Regions from separate parts of the Mus musculus genome. Here regions 1 and 2 are each reported to be linked to region 3. Evidence: microRNA targets listed by miRTarBase, many of them from high-throughput screens and not tested one by one. Region 3 holds a microRNA gene; each other region holds the end of a gene's coding sequence.
What was found. Region 3 holds the annotated microRNA mmu-miR-425-5p (AAUGACACGAUCACUCCCGUUGA, at 2,516-2,538, shown strand). A microRNA usually pairs through its seed, bases 2 to 8, with sites in the 3' UTR of a target mRNA and lowers its output. Matches are read on the target gene's strand: a 7mer-m8 pairs with bases 2 to 8, a 7mer-A1 pairs with bases 2 to 7 and ends in A, and an 8mer does both.

Region 1 (5,262 bases), not on the chromosome of region 3:
AGGCTGGGAAAGAGCTGAAGTAATGGTCCCTGAGACCTGAGTTGGTGTGTGTGTGTGTGTGTGTGTGTGTGTGTGTGTGTGTGTGTGTGTGTGACAGAGTATCTGAGACCTGCAGTATTATTGGTCCAGGAGAGCAGAGAATGGGGTACTGCCAGGGAAAAGGCTTAAGGAGGACTAGACAATGGGTCCTCAAATGTGCCTGCAGTAAGAGGAACTAGGGTATTTCCAATGAGGGAAACCCAGAATGTAGACAAGAAAGAGGCTAATCGTGAGCTGATAGAAGAGAAAGCACGCATATCTCTTGCTAGGACATAGAGGTACCGGCTAGGGGACATGCAGAGGAAAAGAACTGTAGGTACCAGGTCAGGCCTTAGAGCCACTGCCCTGGCACTCCCCAGCTCTGCACTCTTCTCTTTCTCTCCTCAGATTGAAACCTCCCAATTGGAGCCTGAGATAGCCCGGGCTACCAGCAGCCGGACAGTGGTGTACAATAAGGGGCTGTGAGTGAAGACCAGCCGGCCTGGGCACACAGCACTATCCAGGCCGGGCGTTCGGGGTGGGGAGAGAAGTCTCTTGAGCTGTCTCTGCAAGGAGGGGCTGCCTGGAAAGCAGCCAACCTCCGTCAGTAGGGAGACTAACCATTCACATTTTAACATAGGGGAGAGGAATTCTGACACATTTCCTACACAAAAAGAATCAAGTGCATCTCTGGGCCTTACATGGGGTCAGCTAAACTCCACTCAGCACAATTTCGTGTGAGCTAAAGAACTGTAGAGTGCTTCTGGGGTAGAAGTAGTATCCTTTTATATGTTCTTTTTTTTTTTTTTTTCGGTTTGTTTTAATTTTTTTTTTATTAGAAGCAAGTCTGAGCCTTGGTTGCAGCTGACCAAAAGTAGCAGGACAGGTGGCGGGAGCCAGAGGAGCATGGGAACTGGTTTGCATTGATGGGAGGGGAGTATAATGGTTAGGCCTGGTGGGCCCCTCGGGTTAGAGAAGGGAAGGGAAGGGAGGTGGTCTGCACCCCACAGGATGAACCAAGGTTTTTGGGAATTGGCTTTCTCTATCAAAGAGCACTAGAGACCCCTTGGAAGATTCCGGGAACACCAGGCTCTGAATGTACCCAGCTCCTACCCACCCCACAGCTGAGGGAAAGTCAGATGACCCCAGGCACGGGTCATCTTTCATGGAGCTCTTATTGATTCCAGGTCCCTGAGAGTAGCCCAGCTCTAGTCAGGGATCCCCAAGAAGCAACACTGTTCTGTGGGAACAAGGAGAGAGGATCCTGCCTGGGCTTTGCAGGAGGGTTCTTTTCCACAAGTAGCTAGAGTTTCCTACGGGGACAAAGGTGGGCTGAGCCCACTGTGGTCCAGTCTGCAGCCACTGAAGCTGTCACAACCCACACCTTTCTGCAATAGAGGAGTCTCCTGCCTGAGGGTGCAAGGCCGGATCCTGAGGGTGCAACTGCCTGAGAGGTCGCCTCAGCAATGGACAAGCCACCCACATCTCCGAGCTTCCATTCCCTGCCTGGAAGCGAAGGACTGAACTTGGGTTCCCCACAAGCCTGGGGCTCCTCTCTACCTGCTTCACTCAGATGTGCACATTCCAGGCATCTCAAAGGTGGATTCTGGACTGGAAAGTGCATCAGGCCATTCTGGAAATGGCCAGCACTTAGCCTACAAAAGCACCTTGTCCTTCTGTGTGGACTCCCCTACATCCTAAAAAACCTTGACTTGTGCCAAACCCTTCCTGGCTGTGGAGGAGGCAGTATGGATGCCTGAGCTGAGCTTAGGGGTCACACGGCATGCCCTTCCTCACTGCTGCAGACTTGGGGCCTCTTGCTGCTGGCTCCATCTCGTCACGTGTAGGCCACAGAGGAAGAGATAGCTCTACCTAAGGAGGCAGGGTCTGGGTGAGCTGAACAGGGTGACTCCTGGTCCAAAGGACCCACAGAGAGGAGATACACTGATCTCTACACAGCCCTCATCTGTCCACCCTAGGATGGGAACCCTGGCTCATGACCCTGGAATCTGACACAGGAGGGGTCAGGCTGAAGATCAACATGTATGGTTGCAGAAAAAGGCTGGCGCGAGGCAGCAAGGACAAGGTCACAGGTTCCCTGCCAGCATCTTAAGGCAGGTGTAGCTGTAGCAAGATGGGCTGAGCATGGGTATTGGGCTCCAGGCCTTGGCTGGACACTAGATCTGTTTGCTGAAGCCTCTTTTGAAAAGTTCATTCTCAGCTTTTTTTTTTTTTTTTTTTTTTTTTTTTGTCCCCACTTGTCCTGGAGCCTTGTCCTTATGCATTTATCTTGGGACCAAAACCTCCCTCCCCCAGGCCTGCCTGCTCCAGAGGTTCTTCCAGCTCGCCCTCTGTGCTGGCTGTCCCCATGGCCTCAGTACCCCTCGTAGGTGTGTTTTGTGTGTGGAGTGATTTCTGCCATGCTCCAATACACCCTGAGCCCAGGTGAGCTGAGGGGGCAACTCCTTTGGATTTGCTGTGACAGATGGTCCTTGTGGCCCACAGTGATGGTGGCTGAGCGTCTTGAGCCATGCTGTTAAACCCTGTTTTGACTTCATAAAAATCCATAAGGGAAGCTTTCTGTGAATGCAAATGTCCCTATTTGCTGAGGCTAGGGGACAGAAAGAGGCCTGGAGGAAAGGGGGCAAATTACCTCTCGTTGGGTGTGGTTTTTCCAGCAGTCAGGGCAAATCTACAGCAGGCTCTCCAGCTCTGATGTTCCTGGCCAACTCTCCTCTGATAACTTTTAAACATTCCCTGAAGGATGCTCTTCCATCTCTGGAAAGCAATTTGGGAGTACAGGAACCAAAAGTCCAAGATGCCAAATGGCCACCGAACCAAGATGTCTGCACTCTGTCTCATTTCCTAATTGTGGCTGTCTTATGAAAGTCTCTGGTCTGGGGAAGGGTGGGGCACTGAGGAGAGGGGCCAGTGGGAGGCAGGTCCATGCTAAGCTTCCAGCCTTGGGCAGGTATGAGTGAGGCTCAACACGTATGCCTCAGCATACCTAGGGACTTCAGACTTTTTAACCTCAGAAAATGTCTCAATGTATGTGATTTATGTCATACTAACGGGCTGTGGGCAATAAACATGAATTTAAAACACACAGGTGTGGCTTTGTGAATTATAGGGCAATGGGAGGAAAGGAATGAAGAAACACAGAGGGATTAAGTAAAGGCAGCTAGGGACTCTGCGGAAGAGTTCCCAAAGGAAGGCACATGCCCGGGGTTCAGGAAAGGCCCAGAGGAAAGGGTGAAAGAAAAGAGGAGGACATATGAGGGCAGGGAGCTGGTAAAAGAAGACTTGGAACCACAGAAGAGGATTGGCTTAAATGGCTCAGCCAGGGAAGAGCATTGCTTTGCAAGCCAGGGCCACTGATTCAGTCTTCAGAACCCATGGCGGAAGGAGAGAATTGATTCCTGAAAGTTGTCATCTGATTGCTGTGTGTCCTCTCATGTGCACCATAGCATGTGAGTCCCCAGCCCCCTGACCCCCACCCACAAAAGAAGTCCTATGGCTGAGTGGTTGCTGAAGAGGCTAACCCTAAGGAACTGGAATGCTCTAAGATTTCAGCTGGAGGGTGAAGGAGAGGGGACCACCATAGCCTGCCTATGGCTTGGAGACCTATGAGGGATCTCAGCCAACTACAGATATGATGTCTTCTGTGTGTATGGTCTCAATCCTAGAACTCTGCCCCCTCCCAACTCTCTCAGAGCCCCTCATGTGTTGGGTAGTTTTTATGTCAACTTGACATAACCATAGTAATATGAGAGATGGGGAACTATAATTGAGAAAATTAAGATGGTGTGTAGGATATTTTCTTAATTAGTGATTGATATGGGAGGACCCAGTCCATGTGGGTGGTGCTATACCTGGGCTGATGGTCCTGGGTGCTATAAGAAAGCAGGCTGAGCAAGCCATGGGGAGCAAGCCAGTAAGGAACATCCCTCCATGACTTCTGCTTCAGCTCCTGCCTCCAGGTTCCTGTCCTGTCTTCAGTAGGAACCTGTGATGTGGGAGAGTAAGCCAAATAAACCCTTTCCACCCCAACTTGCTTTTTGTCATGGTGTCTCATCACAGCATTAGTAACCCTATCACCTGATAGACCTGGTTTCCCTCCCAAACTGCCCCCTAGAAGTCCATATGGGAGGCCTGCCCTCTCCTATGGGACTACTGAGCATCTTTCAGCCCTGCAGAGAAGGAAGCTGATATGGAGAGAAAGCATTTGGTAGGCAGATGCTGGTCCCAGCATGGCCAGTGGCTGTTGTAAGTACTTTTTTGTTTGGGAGTATTCAGGTGCACATATGTGTACACATGTGAATGGAGGCCAAAGGTCACCTTTGGGTATCATTCCTCGGGAGCCATCCACCTTGATTTTGAGGTCTCTCGCTGTCCTAAAGTTTATCAAATTGGCTGAACTGGCATGAGCAAACCCCAGGATCTGCCTGTCTCTACTCCAGTACTGGGATTTATAAGCATGACCCAGAACAACCTGATTAGTATTAGTAGTAATAGTAGTAGTAGTAGTAGTAGTAGTAGTAGTAGTAGTAGTAGCAGCAGCAGCAGCAGCAGCAGCAGCAGCAGCAGCAGCAGCAGCAGCAGCAGCAGCTTTTAGTTTGCTCATTTTTTTGAGACAGGTTCTCTCTATATATATATTTAGCCCTGGTTGTCCTGGAACTCACTATGTAGACCAGGCTAGCCTCAACTCATAGAGACTCACCTGTCTCTGAGATTAAAGGCATTCACCACTATGTCCAGCCCCCTTGTTTTTTAAAAGTTGGTTTCATTACTTTGCCAACTGAACTCAACTGAACAGAGACTTGGTGCACTTACCTACCAAATGCCAACTCACTGGTGGGGAAGGCAACAGATCCTTCTCTCATGCCTCCTAATTATCTGGGGTGTGGGTAGGAGGCCAAGCCCTGGGCCCCCTTGGAATGGATGAAGAGGGAATAGGAAAGAGGGAGGGGATGGGGTCTCTATTCAAAGTGGTACCTTGAGGTCAGGAGGCTACTGGTCTCTGGGGAATTTCTTTGTAAGAGCTCGGATGGGCTACACAGCCCCCATCGGAACAGCAATCCTTGACTCTCAGGACATACACAAATCCCTCCTGGGAACTGTTTGTTGTTTTTAGCTGGATTGGGGACTGAGCTCCTGCCCAGCTCAGAGATCATTAACACTTGAAGAATGCAGCCCATGGACTGACCTGGATCTAGGCCTCTTGCTCCCCACTCAATCAAAGAG
Region 2 (5,262 bases), not on the chromosome of region 3:
CAGTCTGCGTGCACCCAGATGGCCTTCAGCTTATACTGCTCACCCCGGTCAGACAGACCACCTCTCTTAGGAGTGTGGTGGGCAGCAGCAGTACTCACCTCCTTGAGTGGTACAGCATGTGCCACTGCCATAGCTTCCTCCACTGGAGAGGCAACAGAGGTTACCCCTAGGGTTTGTCTGGTTTTGAACAGGATACTAACGTAGCGTGTCAGTGTTTAGTTGATAGAAAGCAAAGCCTCTGACGCTGTTTCGTTAAGTACTGCTGCTGTGATGCTGACTCAGACTGCAAAGGACAAGAACCCAGTGCCCACAGGGTGATGGTGATGAGCTTCCCTCGGTAGTGTCCTAGCTCATCTAAGGCTTGTTTTATTTGCTTTTTTTTTTACAGACCTAACTACCGTAATGAATGCTGCATATTGAGAGACACCACAAGAAGGTTAACTGTTTGATTGTCTAATTCTTGGATTTGGATTTGATATGAACCAACGGTCTTTGTTGTCATTGACAGAGCCCCAGTATGTGTGTGCATTAGTCACATTCCTCTCTGTTCTGTTGAAGGAAAAAGAGACATTTTAACCCTTTTAAGGTTGACTTTATTTTATGTTATTTGGTTGCATGAAGTTGCCCTTAATCACTAAGAATGATGAAGATTTTGCAGACTTCTCTGTGTCTAGGCTCCTTTTCCAAGTCATCAGCTTCCTGCCTCTCTCCCACCATCATCAGATACTCAGCTAAACAGTAATTCATATTGTTAGGTGACTGCTCAACATAATACTTCAGGATGGGATTTTCTTTGTAGCAGAACCCAAGAACCAACTCCTAGATACATACTGTTGGTGTATTGGAGATGAAGTTAGAGTCATCTTTCAGTTTTAAGGCCATGTGTAAAGTTTAACCATATGTACAATACCTATTCTGTATTAGAAATAGCTAGTTGAAACTTAATACTTCTCAAAACTCATGTTCCTGTGTCCACAAACTAAGTTTATATGTGAACTTACTGAGTCTTTTTGTGTCATACCAAAATAAAGCAAGGACTTATTTTTTTTCCCAAAGCCAATACAATTTGAGCCAATCCCTCAAGATGGTCACTTTACACTGAAAGCTGAGCTCAGCAGGAGCACTGTGGGAAACAAAGCATTGACTCTTGAGTACAGAGTTTAAAATAGACTTTTCTTTTAGAACTAGAATTAGAGTAGTTAACGTTCATCCGCCAACCATTGTTACGTGTGCATTACTGTCGCTCTTGTGGTGATAGAGTCTTATTTATTTTTATGCCAGCTTATACTGTGAGAACTCATTAGTCAGTTTGGGTCTCATCAACCCTGCTATGCTTGTCCTTGGAAGATCTTTTGTGTGTGTTTGAGGTTTGTAGCTGAGAAGTTTACTGTAAAAAAAAAAAATCAAAAACAAAAAAATGTATTGTTTTTACAGAATAAATTTATTGGAATGTGTACTGGGAGTAAGGTTTGAGGTTATAAACAGCCGAGTTAGTGTTATTTGGCTTCATATGTGTAATGTGAAGTATTAATGTGTTTCTTGTATTATAGCAAAGATTGACAGCAAATTGACATTAGAATTAAGTGCAGGTGAAAATTTTATTTTTTCTATCATGTTTCTTTTTAAGTATTCTGGATGTTAGGTTAAGTGAAAGCCGTGGGGGGACAGGAGGGAGCAACAGCAGGAGCTGCAGCAGCAGGGGCTGTCTGCACGTCTGCGACAGCCCAGCTCAGGGGACCCTGCATTTACACACAGCCTTCCGTGCATCCAGTTTGCTTTTGGTGTTCTTACTGTGTTGAAGAACTAATGAACGTGAAGAGAAAATAGAAGAAGACCTAAGAGCCCAGTGTCGTTGTGAAGATGGAGGTGATGTGGGGCTCTGGATGCACTGGTCTACTCACCCCTCCCTCCAGGACATCACTGTCCTTTGGGCTTGCTCCTGCCGGTTAGCAATCAGTGGTCCCCTGTTGTGCTCACGCAGTTCCATGTATGGAAAATTCATTAAGAGACAGGCTGTTAAGTCAGGGTTTTTTCTTTAAAAGGTACTTTTTAATTTTAAATATTTTAGTTTAAAATAATGAAATTTGACAAAAGATCTCTTCATTATCATGCAAAACATATGGAGAATGTAGATAGCATTTTTAAATTGGAACATATAACAAAGGTTTTTTTGTTTGTTTGTTTGTTTGAGGCAGGGTTTCTCTGTGTAGCCCTGATTATCCTGGAACTCACTCTGTAGACCAGGCTAGCCTGGAACTCAAAAGATCAGCCTGTCTCTGAATCCCAAGTGCAAGGATTAAAGGCGTGTGCTACCACTACCTGGCACAGATTTCTTAAATAAAAAGTTCAAAATTTGTCATGAAAATGTATATATAAAATGCTTCAAAATTAATAAAGTTTATCTTCATAAACACCAAAAATAATTTTATTGAAGGTATACACAGTATTGAAGGTATACACAGAAACACAAGAGAAATATTATCAACCAATAAAACAAGTGTTCATTAAGGCAACTAATAAAGTTGATTTGTGTCATCTTAGCTATTCAAATTCACAATAGAAGTTTTGACAGCAATTTTTAAAATGGCAATAAATAATATGCTTTCCTTGTGAAAACACTTGAATCAATTTAAAAATATTGTGATGATCTGGCATTTATATTAAGATTGTCAACAACTCATACATTTCATATGAAGCCATTTCTCCAACCTGCAATTGCTGTTTTGAATTATTTCTTATGCATAGTATGGTTAGTTACTTCTGAATAGTTTCATTTTTATGCTTTTTGTAGGCACTAGAGTTGTAATTTTCACACATACTATGTGCAAACAATGCTAAAATCAATGGTCACATTCATAGACAAATGGTGATATATTTCCTTAAAAAAGCTGTTTCTCAACTTTAATTTTCTTTCAAAACTGAGAATATACCCAGATACTACCCTTAGTTTCACTCACATGTATGCTGCAGAACAAGTGTGTTCTTGTGAGTATTCCTGTATGGAGGGGATAAAGGAGAGCGCCAGTCCCATTAACAGGTCAGAGAGAACTGTGAGGTATGTTTGTTTATTCCAACTTCTCATCTGCCTTAGTTCTTAGGAAGAACTCGGGATTGTAGGTACAACGGTAGGCCAAGAGCTGAGGAAGAACTCCATATGCTATGTTTAGTGCTAGAAAAAAGATTTTCGCTTCTTCGGGGACTCTGTAGACATAAGCAGTTCTAGCATGAAGGGACGCACCAATGTGAGAAAACTGAGCCTGTTTATATTAAAACAAAACAAAAAAACAGTAAGGATGAGCTCTGTTCACTTGGATTAATGATGAATTCTGAGTGTCTCATTCAGACCATGTGCCCTCAAAACCTGTCTTAAAGGCAAAATACCTTTAGGTAATCCAGTCTTAATATATAATCTTTCACTAAATTTAAGGTTGTTCTTGATATAAGTATTCAAATAATGTATCCTTCTTAAAGTGTGATTTTATTATTCCAGTTGTGTATTTTTAACCTATCCTGTGCCAAATAACAAACAATACTGGCTCAATTCAACAACAACAACAACAAAATCTCCCCCTCTTTCTAATTTGAATCTTAGGAACACTAACTATATAGACACTCAGCAAGGTCTCACAAATTGGGTTTGAATTACAAATGAAGTTGGGTTTTAACATTTAAGCTGTAATTAGTATGAGGAGCTACTTTAGAGAGAAGCACTAAGGGTCTCAGACCAACCACTGGATGCCAGAGCTCAGAGACCATCACATGTACTGCTTATTCATCCGTGTGTTTGGTTTTATGTAACTTAATAGCACTATGATTGTTTGTAAGGTAAGCTTGTTAATAGCTTGGCTGTGGATAGCAATATGATTATAAAATGGCAAATATATACACAGGCAGCCTTTCCAAATCAGACTGAAATCTACTTAGAATTGTGACTGGTCAGCATGTTTGAAGTTTCAGAACAGAACAGCAAGGGCTCCCTCTGTTTACATGGGATAGTTTATAAACTATTCAGAATGTGCCAGTTGAATTTTGCTTGGCTCATTTGTTTTTTGTACTTTTCATAAGCACAGAGAAAAACTATTAGAAAAGTAATACAGGCCATAGCAGAATTGAAAACCGACAGAGTATTTTTCTCAGAAAACTTGTTATTATAAAATGCAAACCCCAAGTCTGCACTTTTATGTTTGCCTGAAATTCAAGATACACAGAAATAAAGACTAAAGATTTAAATGTAGTTAAATGGCAGATTATCAGTATACTATGATCAAAGTGAGACGATAAAGGATCCTGCAATCTAAAGAGACAGAAGTAACAGTGAATCACTAGAGAGTGTGTTCTTAATGTATTGTTACCTTATATGTCCTTCCATATGATCAATTGAGAGTGCTAAGTGCTAACAGATAAAAGTGCTACTTGGCATTTGATGTGACCTTGGCAAAGAAAAGAGCATGTTTAGGAATTTGTATAAATGGCAGATATTTTAATGGGCTACAATTTATAAATTACTGATATATTCCGGATACTTTTACTACTCTGGAAATAAAAATTAAATTCCTGATGTGTGTTGACAAGGACCAACAAGTGGCTTACCCACACTGTGATTCTCCTCGGGCACTGAGAAGGTTCTGCCCGCAGACACACTCCCTAGGGCACAAAGCCAAAGGCCCAGCAAATGAGTGCATCTCAAGGCTACACAGACAGAGTCCTTGAGAATAAAGGGCACTTTGGAAGCTGCCCAGAAGAGACACTGCTGTGAACAGTCTGGGGACTCTGGCAGAAGCCTTGACTCCTGACACTTGTTCTCTGGGCCCTGCTTTAGCTGTTTTTTTGAACATACAACAATTTTCTTCTGGACTAGAGGCCAGTTTTGAACCCTGGTTTTGTCAGACTTGTGGGTTTAGTGATTCTATCCTTAGAGATTATTGTGCTCATCATAAAATGACAGAAAAATACTACCCACAATTCCCAAGAATAAGTAACATGAGCAGCTGGGTGTACCTATATAGGTAAACCTGTATGAAAGGTCAGTGATTGTGTGGGCCCTTCTCTGCACTGAACAGTGCAGTTAATACCTCATTCTCGTGAACAGGAAGGTCATGACAACATTCAAAAAAATGATGCGTCCTTAGATTAGATTGTACGCCCACTGGGCAGATACTGTGTCTAATGTTTTGTGTGGCACCTATCACGTTGTTAGAGTTCAATAAACATTCAACAACAATGCTCTTGTGACTGTCAGAATACAAAAAGAATCTTGAAAGC
Region 3 (7,984 bases):
AACCAAACGATGAGGGTCTGATAGAGAGGTGGTCACTTAGGACCCAGTGCTACCCACTGCCCCATACCTATCCTAGGTTCCAGCATCCAGAAAAGGGAGAAGCTCTCTTCAGTGATATCCTGATGAGATCCCACCTGTATGGTAGCAGAGGCCATTCAACACATCAAATCTATACAGCCTTTACTCACAGCGACACTAATAGGCAACAAAATAAAGCTAAATTTGCTAGGAGGGAGTGGCTTCTGGCGCTATTTAAATTTCAATGTAGGGGAGAAGGCTCACGTTCCACTGGACCACCGTCTGTGGGAGCAGCACGCAAGGGCCAAACACGCGATTTCCGCAGATAGTGAAGCCTCTGCTACTGTAGCTGTCGATGTACACGGCCTGAGGGAACTCGCTTTGCAGCAGTGAGATGCGAGTCCGCTGGTATAACTCATCGTCCGCCGGAGAAAGCCGGTGTCCCCGACGCGGGTTCCTCCTGCGGAGGGCTAAAGTCAGGAAGTCGTGGCCCGGCCGGACTATGCGGGATTGAAAGGTCCGAGGCCAAGTGGTCAGAGGCTGGACAGGGGATGCTCACCACAGCCGGTCGACGTGCCGACAGAGCGGCGCAGGTCGCGTTCGGAAAAGGCAGCGAAATCCTAGAGCAGTAGCCATGGCTGCAACGGCGCTTAACGACCCGGTCGTAGGGACAGAGTTGTCTGTCTCAAAGTAGCCACAGCGCCCCTTGCGTCCCGGAGGGCACCGCGCACCTTGAACGGCGCAGTAGGCCAATGCAGAGCCTCTGTCTCCCCATGCGGGTGTGTCAGCACCTGTCGCCCACCCCGCCCCATGCCTCCAGCGACAGTCCCTAAGGAGGAGGGGGAAAAACACCTGCTAGTACGGGCGCCCTAAGGGTATTGTTTAGGCCACTGCCGCGGCCTGTTCCTGGGATTCTCAGCCATTATTCGGGCTCCCAGGGACCAGGGCGGGGCAGCTGCGCACCTGGTCCTGTTATGAACACCTGGCCAGGGTGTGGTGCCAGCCTCCAGGCCCTTAATCCCAGGCTTTGGAGAATCGGGCTCCGGGGGCGGGGCAGATGGCTAAAATTTCCCTAGCTAGTCTCGAAATCGCTGCTTTCCCCAACCGTCACCAGCGCGACCGTTGGCGACGGCGCAGCGCTCCATGAGAGGCGTGGCCGAGCATGGATTGGCTTCCCGGCAGCGCGAGGGGGTGTGGCCAGATGGTTTCTCCTTAAAATGGCTCCAAGTCTGGGGACAGCTAGAGCCAGCGGAAGGGCACGCCGTGGCAGTGCTGGAGTAGCTGTTCGAGTGGGACTGACTGGGCCAAACCGGACCAGACGTGAAGTAGACCGCGCCTGGAGCACCACCCCGCCCTTGCGCGCTCTGCGCGCGCGTACCGAGAGTCTCCCTCCCCCTGTCTTGAGCTGAGTCTAGGGCCTACTGGCGCATGAGTCCTTGGCGTCCCGCGGCATGGGCATCTCTGCGCACCGGTTCTGTCCTGGCCTCAGAGGAACTTTGTCGCGTTCTCTATCCGCTGGACTAGACGGGTGGGATGCTTGACACAAATGGGGCTTGGCTGTGGGGTTCTTTGCAGGGCCGGTTGCAATGGGCTTGGGGGGAGGCTGTCCTGCCGCTGCTATGTGGGCCAGTTTGGCCCCTGGCACTTCATGAGCTGGCACCGTCACCAGACAAAAGGTCCTAAGCTTTGGGGAGTCCCAGAAGTGGACACATGGGTTTACTTCCTCTCGGGTCTCACGGAATCGCTTCCCTCTTGACGGATTCCGAAGCCTGCCCGGTACAAGTGGCTCCTGCTTGGGACTCACAGGGCTAATCCAGCCCTTCTGATCTAATCCGGATCAGGACCTCGTCCCGGGGGATGCCCCCACCTTCTATTGTTCTGGGGCCCAGGTGAGCGTCTCATTCTCACTAGACTGGTTTAAAACACCTACTCCTTCCTACTCAGCCCACTGGGAAGGGATGGGCGGGTTCCGGTTTGGCCTCAGGGCGAGTGACCTGGGAGCAAGAGCCCTCCTCCAATGGCTGGACAGCGGGCAACGGAATCCCAAAAGCAGCTGTTGTCTCCAGAGCATTCCAGCTGCACTTGGATTTCGTTCCCTGCTCTCCTGCCTGAGCAGCGCCCTGGCCCAGATAATGTGGTCTCTATTCTCAGAAACACTACACTACTGGGCCATTCTGATCTCCATCTCTCAGGTGCACCCCCAGACTGATGGTGGCAGTCAGAGGCGACGAAAAAAGCTCGGGCTGATGGCCCTGTCTGGAATCCCTGGAGAACTCTGACCAGGGAGGTCCTGGGTCCTCTCTCTGAAGGGCCGCAATGGCGGTGAGTCCCACAAGGCCGCCCAGCCCGCAGCTCGCTAAAGATAGATCTTCACTTCCTGGGGAAAACCCACCCCAACCGTCTTCATGGAGGGAGAGTAGCTAAAATCACCAACTTGCTGGTGGGTCCCAGCCCTGCTAGCAGCTGAACCCACACCACAGCATGGAAAGTGCTTTGGAATGACACGATCACTCCCGTTGAGTGGGCACCCAAGAAGCCATCGGGAATGTCGTGTCCGCCCAGTGCTCTTTCGGCACCTCCCAAACAGGGCCTCATAGCCCCGGCCTTCCCGAACTTTTCCTATCTCTAGATGTCACTCCTCTCCGGAGCAAAGTTCACCGGTTGGATTCATTCATTACTGGGGGAAGTGGAGTTTCACGTTACTTGGAAACGAAAGAGTTTGGACATAGAAAAGCTCACCTGCAGCTTGCTCTACCTGAGAGCTCTGCTTATTTGGGTCTTCTCATCATCACATTTGTCTTAAACTGACCAGTTGCCTAAAGAACCAAAGGTGCCGGTAACACCAGTTTAAAGGAAAAACATTAAAGGCTGGTAATCCTGGAATCATGATGACTAATTCCTCGGGTATCAAGATGGGCAATTCTATCCGATTGGGCTTTTACTGGGAATAAAGACATTCCATACCGCAGCCGAGGAAAGGCGTACCAATAATCAGAACTCAAATTTTGCTTTGTTTCGTTACTTTTCCAAGTAGGCGGTAAAGAGTCTTTAATGGAAGACACGAGTGGTGGCACACACCTTTAATCCCAGTACTCAGGAGGCAGAGGCAGGTGGATTTCTGAGTTCAAGGACTTTCTGGTCTACAAAGAGTTCCAGGACAGCCATGGCTACACAGTGAAACCCTGTCTTGAAAAACAAAGTGTCATTAATGGTACAGCCTTATTCCTTTGACATTTCGTCTCGTGCGTCTGGCCTTTAATTTGTTTAAATGGGGCAGAAAAAGAAAAAAGAGACATAAACACAAAGATGTGAAACTTTGGTGGCAAAGTGTCTTGCCTGGTAACAAAGATCCGTTATCAAAGTAATAATTCGGGGTGACGATTTTTTTAAAAAGGAGGAAAAATGGACCCTCAAATTTGGAGGTTAGGGCTCATGAATACAGGAAAGGCCATCGGGAGGGAGAGCTGGAGGCGTGGGTAGAATGTAAGCTCACTTGGCATGCTCGATCGCTCTGGTCCATTCAGGAGAGTCCACGGCCGGATCCCCGCCCCCGCCAGGCGGACCTCCCGGAAGCTCTACGGATAACTTACTTCCTGTTCCATTTAGTCTTCCGGTCGCCATGGCGACCGGGCGCCTTGGGGTTGGCGAGACGCTGGAGGCCCTTAATGCAGCTGTAGGGCCTGGTAGCCCAGTGTGGTTTAAGGAAACCCATGCCCGGCACCTTCGTGTTCGAGACTTCTTGGCACCGCGAAGCGCGCTACAGGCGCGCTTCAGGGACGGCCAGGTGGGTGCGCTCCTGTGGGGCATGCCTAGCGGGATCCACGGAACTACGGCCCACTTACACACATCTGCCTGCAGGTGCCAGAGTGCGTGTTCCGTGCGGTCTCCTGCCTGCAGGGTCCCGGAGTGGCCCCTGTACTGCGCTGCGCGCCGACACCCGCGGGTTTATCGCTCCAACTACAGCGGCCCGCTGTCTTCGAACATGTACTCGGTGCCCTGGCCTCCTATGCTACTCCCGCCAAACCTGCCTCACCAGGCCCGCGAGTTGTCCTACACTGCCCAGCACTGCGCTGTAATTCGGGGACGCTCCGATTGAGCCAGCTGCGTGCCGTGCTCGTAGCCGATCATCTAGTACGGGTACTGCGTGCTCATGGGTAAGTGCGTGTTCGAAGCTATAATGGCAAAAGACCGAACATTTGGGGATAGAAAAGGTGGGAGTCATGATAATCTAAGCCTGGTCCGCAGGCTGAGACAGCCTCCCTTGCTTTGCAGGGTACGTGTGTGCTCAGTGCCCCCGGTGCGGGACCCTCACATGTCAACTTTCCTCCAGAAACTTCGGGTGGAATGGCCCACTGCCTCGAAGAGCACCTCGACCGAAACACTGAGAACCTGTGTTCTTGCAAACCTTAATGGTTCTAAGGAAGCGACGCTGCCCCCTGGCGTCCTAGGCCGACTGTGTCTGAAGGAACTGGTAGAACAGAGAGGCACTGCTGGCTATGACCCCAGCATAGACCACTGTTTGGGTAGGACAAACGGCAGAACATGGGTGGGGTTGTGTCTCTGCACTGCCAGGCACTTCAACACCTCTTGTTTTCTGTAGTGACTGAAGATGTGCTCTCTGTGCTCTCGGAGCTGCAGGAGGCTGTGCGCCACTGGCCAGAGGGCGGCCACCCAGGCCCGGTGAGTGGCTGCCTTGACCTCTGCCCAAACTGGATTTTTGTATCTTTGTAGTAACTGCCCCATCTCTCCTCAGGCTGGGCGTCCAGATGCTGGTGTAGATGACTGCGTGGTTATACACGTGGTTAGCTGTGAAGAGGCATTCCAGCAACAAAAGCTGGATTTGCTCTGGCAGAAATTGGATGACCGGGCTCCTCACAAGCAGGTTGGTTACCAAAGTTAACCAAACCACCTCCGACCTCAGGCCTGGAATACCATGGGGTTTAGAGACTGATGTGACCATAGGCACCCGTGCTACAAGTGCAAATGTCCTGTGACTATGTAGTCTTAAGAAAAAGGATGATGGTGTCTTGAGGAGGTACGAAGGAAGGCTGGTGGTTACAGATTGGGAAAACCAAGGTAGAAAAGCAACTGATATAGTTCCCTGAAGCGGGGAGGGTAGTGCCAACTGGGCTGAGCCCTTCCAGTCTTTCACAGAAACACCTGGTGTGTGGTCCCGTGAAAATGGCTGGTGTACCCGGCACCCAGCTGACTGCCCCTCAGTACTACAGGTGAGTATGAAAGGGATGCCATCCACAGCCACCAACAGCGTAAAGGTAGGGACAGCTTTCACTGAGACCTTGCTTACTGGCTCGCTTTTCTAGGCTCAGACATGCTCAGGTGTGCGAGGCCTCAGCTCTGAAGCACGGAGGAGACCTGGCACAAGGTACACCTGGGAGATCCTGCGTGTGCGCTGAGGTGGAAGCAGGTCACGCACACCTCTGGCCTGTGTGCTTCGTCTTCAGACACTGACCAGCCTCTCTCGCACCCCAGACCCCGCCTGGACTGAGACCTTCGACATCCTCTCCGTGGCTACCATCAAATTTGAGATGCTAAGCACAGCCCCACAGAGCCAGGTAAGCCTCCCGACACCAGGACGGAGGATGCAGGTACAGAGCCAAGGCCCTCTGCAGCTATGTTACCATTCCCCAGCTCCTCCTGGCCCACAGCACCATCTCAACAAAGGGCACAAAGAGCGGGACTTTTGTCATGTATAACTGTGCCCGCCTTGCCACACTCTTCGAGGGCTACAAACATGGAACGGAGCAAGGTCTGTATCCCACTTTTCCGCTTGTGAGCAGTCTGGACTTCTCACTACTCCATGATGAGGTGAGTGTTGGTCCTGATAAACGTCCACAAGGCTTGGACTTGTCTTCCTAGCACGCTTGTCTCCCGCAGGGTGAGTGGCTGCTGCTTTTCAACAGTGTCCTTCCCTTTCTGGACCTGCTGAGCCAGACTGTGAGTCTGGCCGGCACCCCAGGCCTCCACATCCCTGTCCGCACGGAGATGGTAAGGCACAGAAGACATTTCACACATTATTCTTTATTCTGGGTTGTAACACAAGAAAAAAGACAACAGCTCAACGACTCAACGTCTGTCTCTAGGTATGCAAGTTCCTGGTGCAGCTCAGCATGGATTTCAGCTCCTACTATAACCGAGTACATATTCTAGGGGTGAGCATACAGCAAGGGGGGTCTGCGGGAAATGTGGGCAAGGCTGAGCACACGGGAAATGAGGATGCGCCTGGCTGCTTTTCTTTCAGGAACCTCGGCCACACCTCTTTGGTCAGATGTTTGCTCGCCTACAGCTTTTGAGGGCAGTGCGTGAGGTGTTCCACACAGGCTTGGCTATGCTGGGCCTCCCTCCGCTGAGCCACATCTAAGGGCCCAATAACTGGGAATGTTTATAAAAGCATCAACTGGGAAAGAAACAAGACCTCACAGATGTTGGGCACTTAAAGTCAGAATAAATACAGTTTCATCCTATTGTGAGAGTGAGGCGTGTTCTTGGTCCTCCTATGCAACACCCTACTGGAATACTTGCGAGAACTATGGTACTGCCTCGCCTCCCCAGAGCACACTGAGCGTGACACAGACAGCTGATCCCTGCTCTACTGTCTGCAGTCAGGCCCTGTGCTCAGTTCTCCACCCACTGGGATAACTCAGTCATACCAGTTGTAAACCTCAAGTCCCTGACCTGCCAGAGCACAGCGGTGGCCAAACTCAGGGCTCACAGGCCAGCAGTCCATGTCGGCCACATCTGGCACATGGTACACAGTGCTATTCATGAAGGTGGGCTCACCCTGTCCCAGACGCCAGAAGGTCAGCCGCTGGTCTATGGAGGCTGAGACCATGAGCTTGGGACTTAGGATCTTGACGCCTGTCACATGGGCAGCATGTGCGCAGGGGACGGAATATTCCTCTAGGACACATAACTGGGGCACCAGCTCAGCCTCCCCATCAGCTTCTTCCGGCTCTGGCATCTTCACAGCAAGTGTGAAGACATGCAGGGACCCATCCTCACTGCCACTGGCCACAAGGTGGTGGCCCTCAGGTGTAGGCAAAGTGTGCAGGCTATTGACGCCACAGCTATGGGCTTGCACGGTCATGGAGGGGGTGCCCATCTCTGGAGGAAGAGAGTGGCTGTTAGCTCCCGCTTTTATCTTGTGAGAGAGGTAATGAGGGGTGTCACGGTACTCACGGTAGGGAAGCCCAGGGTGTGCTGGAAGCTCCAGGGTAGTAGAGCCTTTGTCCATTGCCGTGGTGAGATCCCAGAAGGCTAGGCTGCCATCTGTAGCTGCACTGCACAGGATCAGCCTCCTGGAAGCCAGGAGAGGACAGCCAGATCAGTAAAAGGGATGGAAAAACAGGAGCCCTTACCCAACCCACAGAGGGCTGCCTCTCACCGACGCTGGTTAGGTGCCTCATGTGTGAAGGAGTGGACTTTGAGGACACACCGCTTGTGGTGGAAAGACTCAGCTAGGAGATGCAGAATTCGCCCAGAGTCCTGCAGGAGAAAGAGCCTGGGGGCGAGGAGGAGGGGTGGTGGTCTGGGAACCGTCCTGGAGAGCTCACACCCTCCCCCTCCCCTCCCCCTCCTCTGCCCTATGAGCTCACCTCACTGCTCCATCACTACAGGCTGCAGCCACAAGGGGGCCAGGGCCGAGGCCAGGCCTATCGTTGTCAAGCTCACAAATAGCAAGAGACATGTACCTGTAGGGGGTACACACCGGTCAGGTGGGGCCTGCAGTCAGGAGTCAGGACTTTCCTATAACCCTCTCACGCCCCGCCCATGACAGGGAGGCCGCCTTACCTGGTCTCAGGGTCCACCTTGATCATCTTGTGCTTGTTCCGCTGCCGGTCCCAGTACTCATCCAGCCGGTGGGATGAAAGGTGCATGACATGACAGGCAAGGCGGCTGGGGGTGCTAGCGTCCGGAGTGACCATGACGCTGAAGCAGTGAATCTCCG

Region 1: the mRNA of Sfxn5 is a reported target of mmu-miR-425-5p. Seed matches in the 3' UTR shown: 7mer-A1 at 3,079-3,085.
Region 2: the mRNA of Hdgfl3 is a reported target of mmu-miR-425-5p. Seed matches in the 3' UTR shown: 8mer at 1,013-1,020 and 7mer-m8 at 2,530-2,536.

What each region holds. Positions count from the first base shown.
Region 1 is chr6:85,210,911-85,216,172 of GRCm38, reverse strand. Sfxn5 (sideroflexin 5) reads left to right here. Exons shown (of 14, transcript NM_178639.4): 14 at 427-3,122. The coding sequence ends at 504. Among named protein-coding and RNA genes, the nearest start is that of Emx1, 26 kb to the right of the region's middle.
Region 2 is chr7:81,881,210-81,886,471 of GRCm38, reverse strand. It overlaps Hdgfl3 (HDGF like 3), which reads left to right. Exons shown (of 6, transcript NM_013886.4): 6 at 389-5,216. The coding sequence ends at 394. Tm6sf1 (transmembrane 6 superfamily member 1) reads right to left here. Exons shown (of 10, transcript NM_145375.4): 10 at 2,393-3,257. The coding sequence ends at 3,066. Among named protein-coding and RNA genes, the nearest start is that of Tm6sf1, 25 kb to the right of the region's middle.
Region 3 is chr9:108,566,274-108,574,257 of GRCm38, forward strand. It overlaps Mir425 (microRNA 425), which reads left to right and starts at 2,504; the gene lies at 2,504-2,588. It overlaps Dalrd3 (DALR anticodon binding domain containing 3), which reads left to right and starts at 3,619. Exons shown (of 12, transcript NM_026378.3): 1 at 3,619-3,802; 2 at 3,877-4,172; 3 at 4,291-4,541; 4 at 4,619-4,698; 5 at 4,772-4,900; 6 at 5,173-5,246; 7 at 5,340-5,401; 8 at 5,509-5,591; 9 at 5,668-5,844; 10 at 5,914-6,024; 11 at 6,120-6,188; 12 at 6,278-6,498. The coding sequence starts at 3,638. The coding sequence ends at 6,397. It overlaps Mir191 (microRNA 191), which reads left to right and starts at 2,046; the gene lies at 2,046-2,119. Ndufaf3 (NADH:ubiquinone oxidoreductase complex assembly factor 3) reads right to left here and starts at 1,163. Exons shown (of 5, transcript NM_023247.2): 1 at 578-1,163; 2 at 283-478; 3 at 68-134. The coding sequence starts at 654. It also overlaps Wdr6.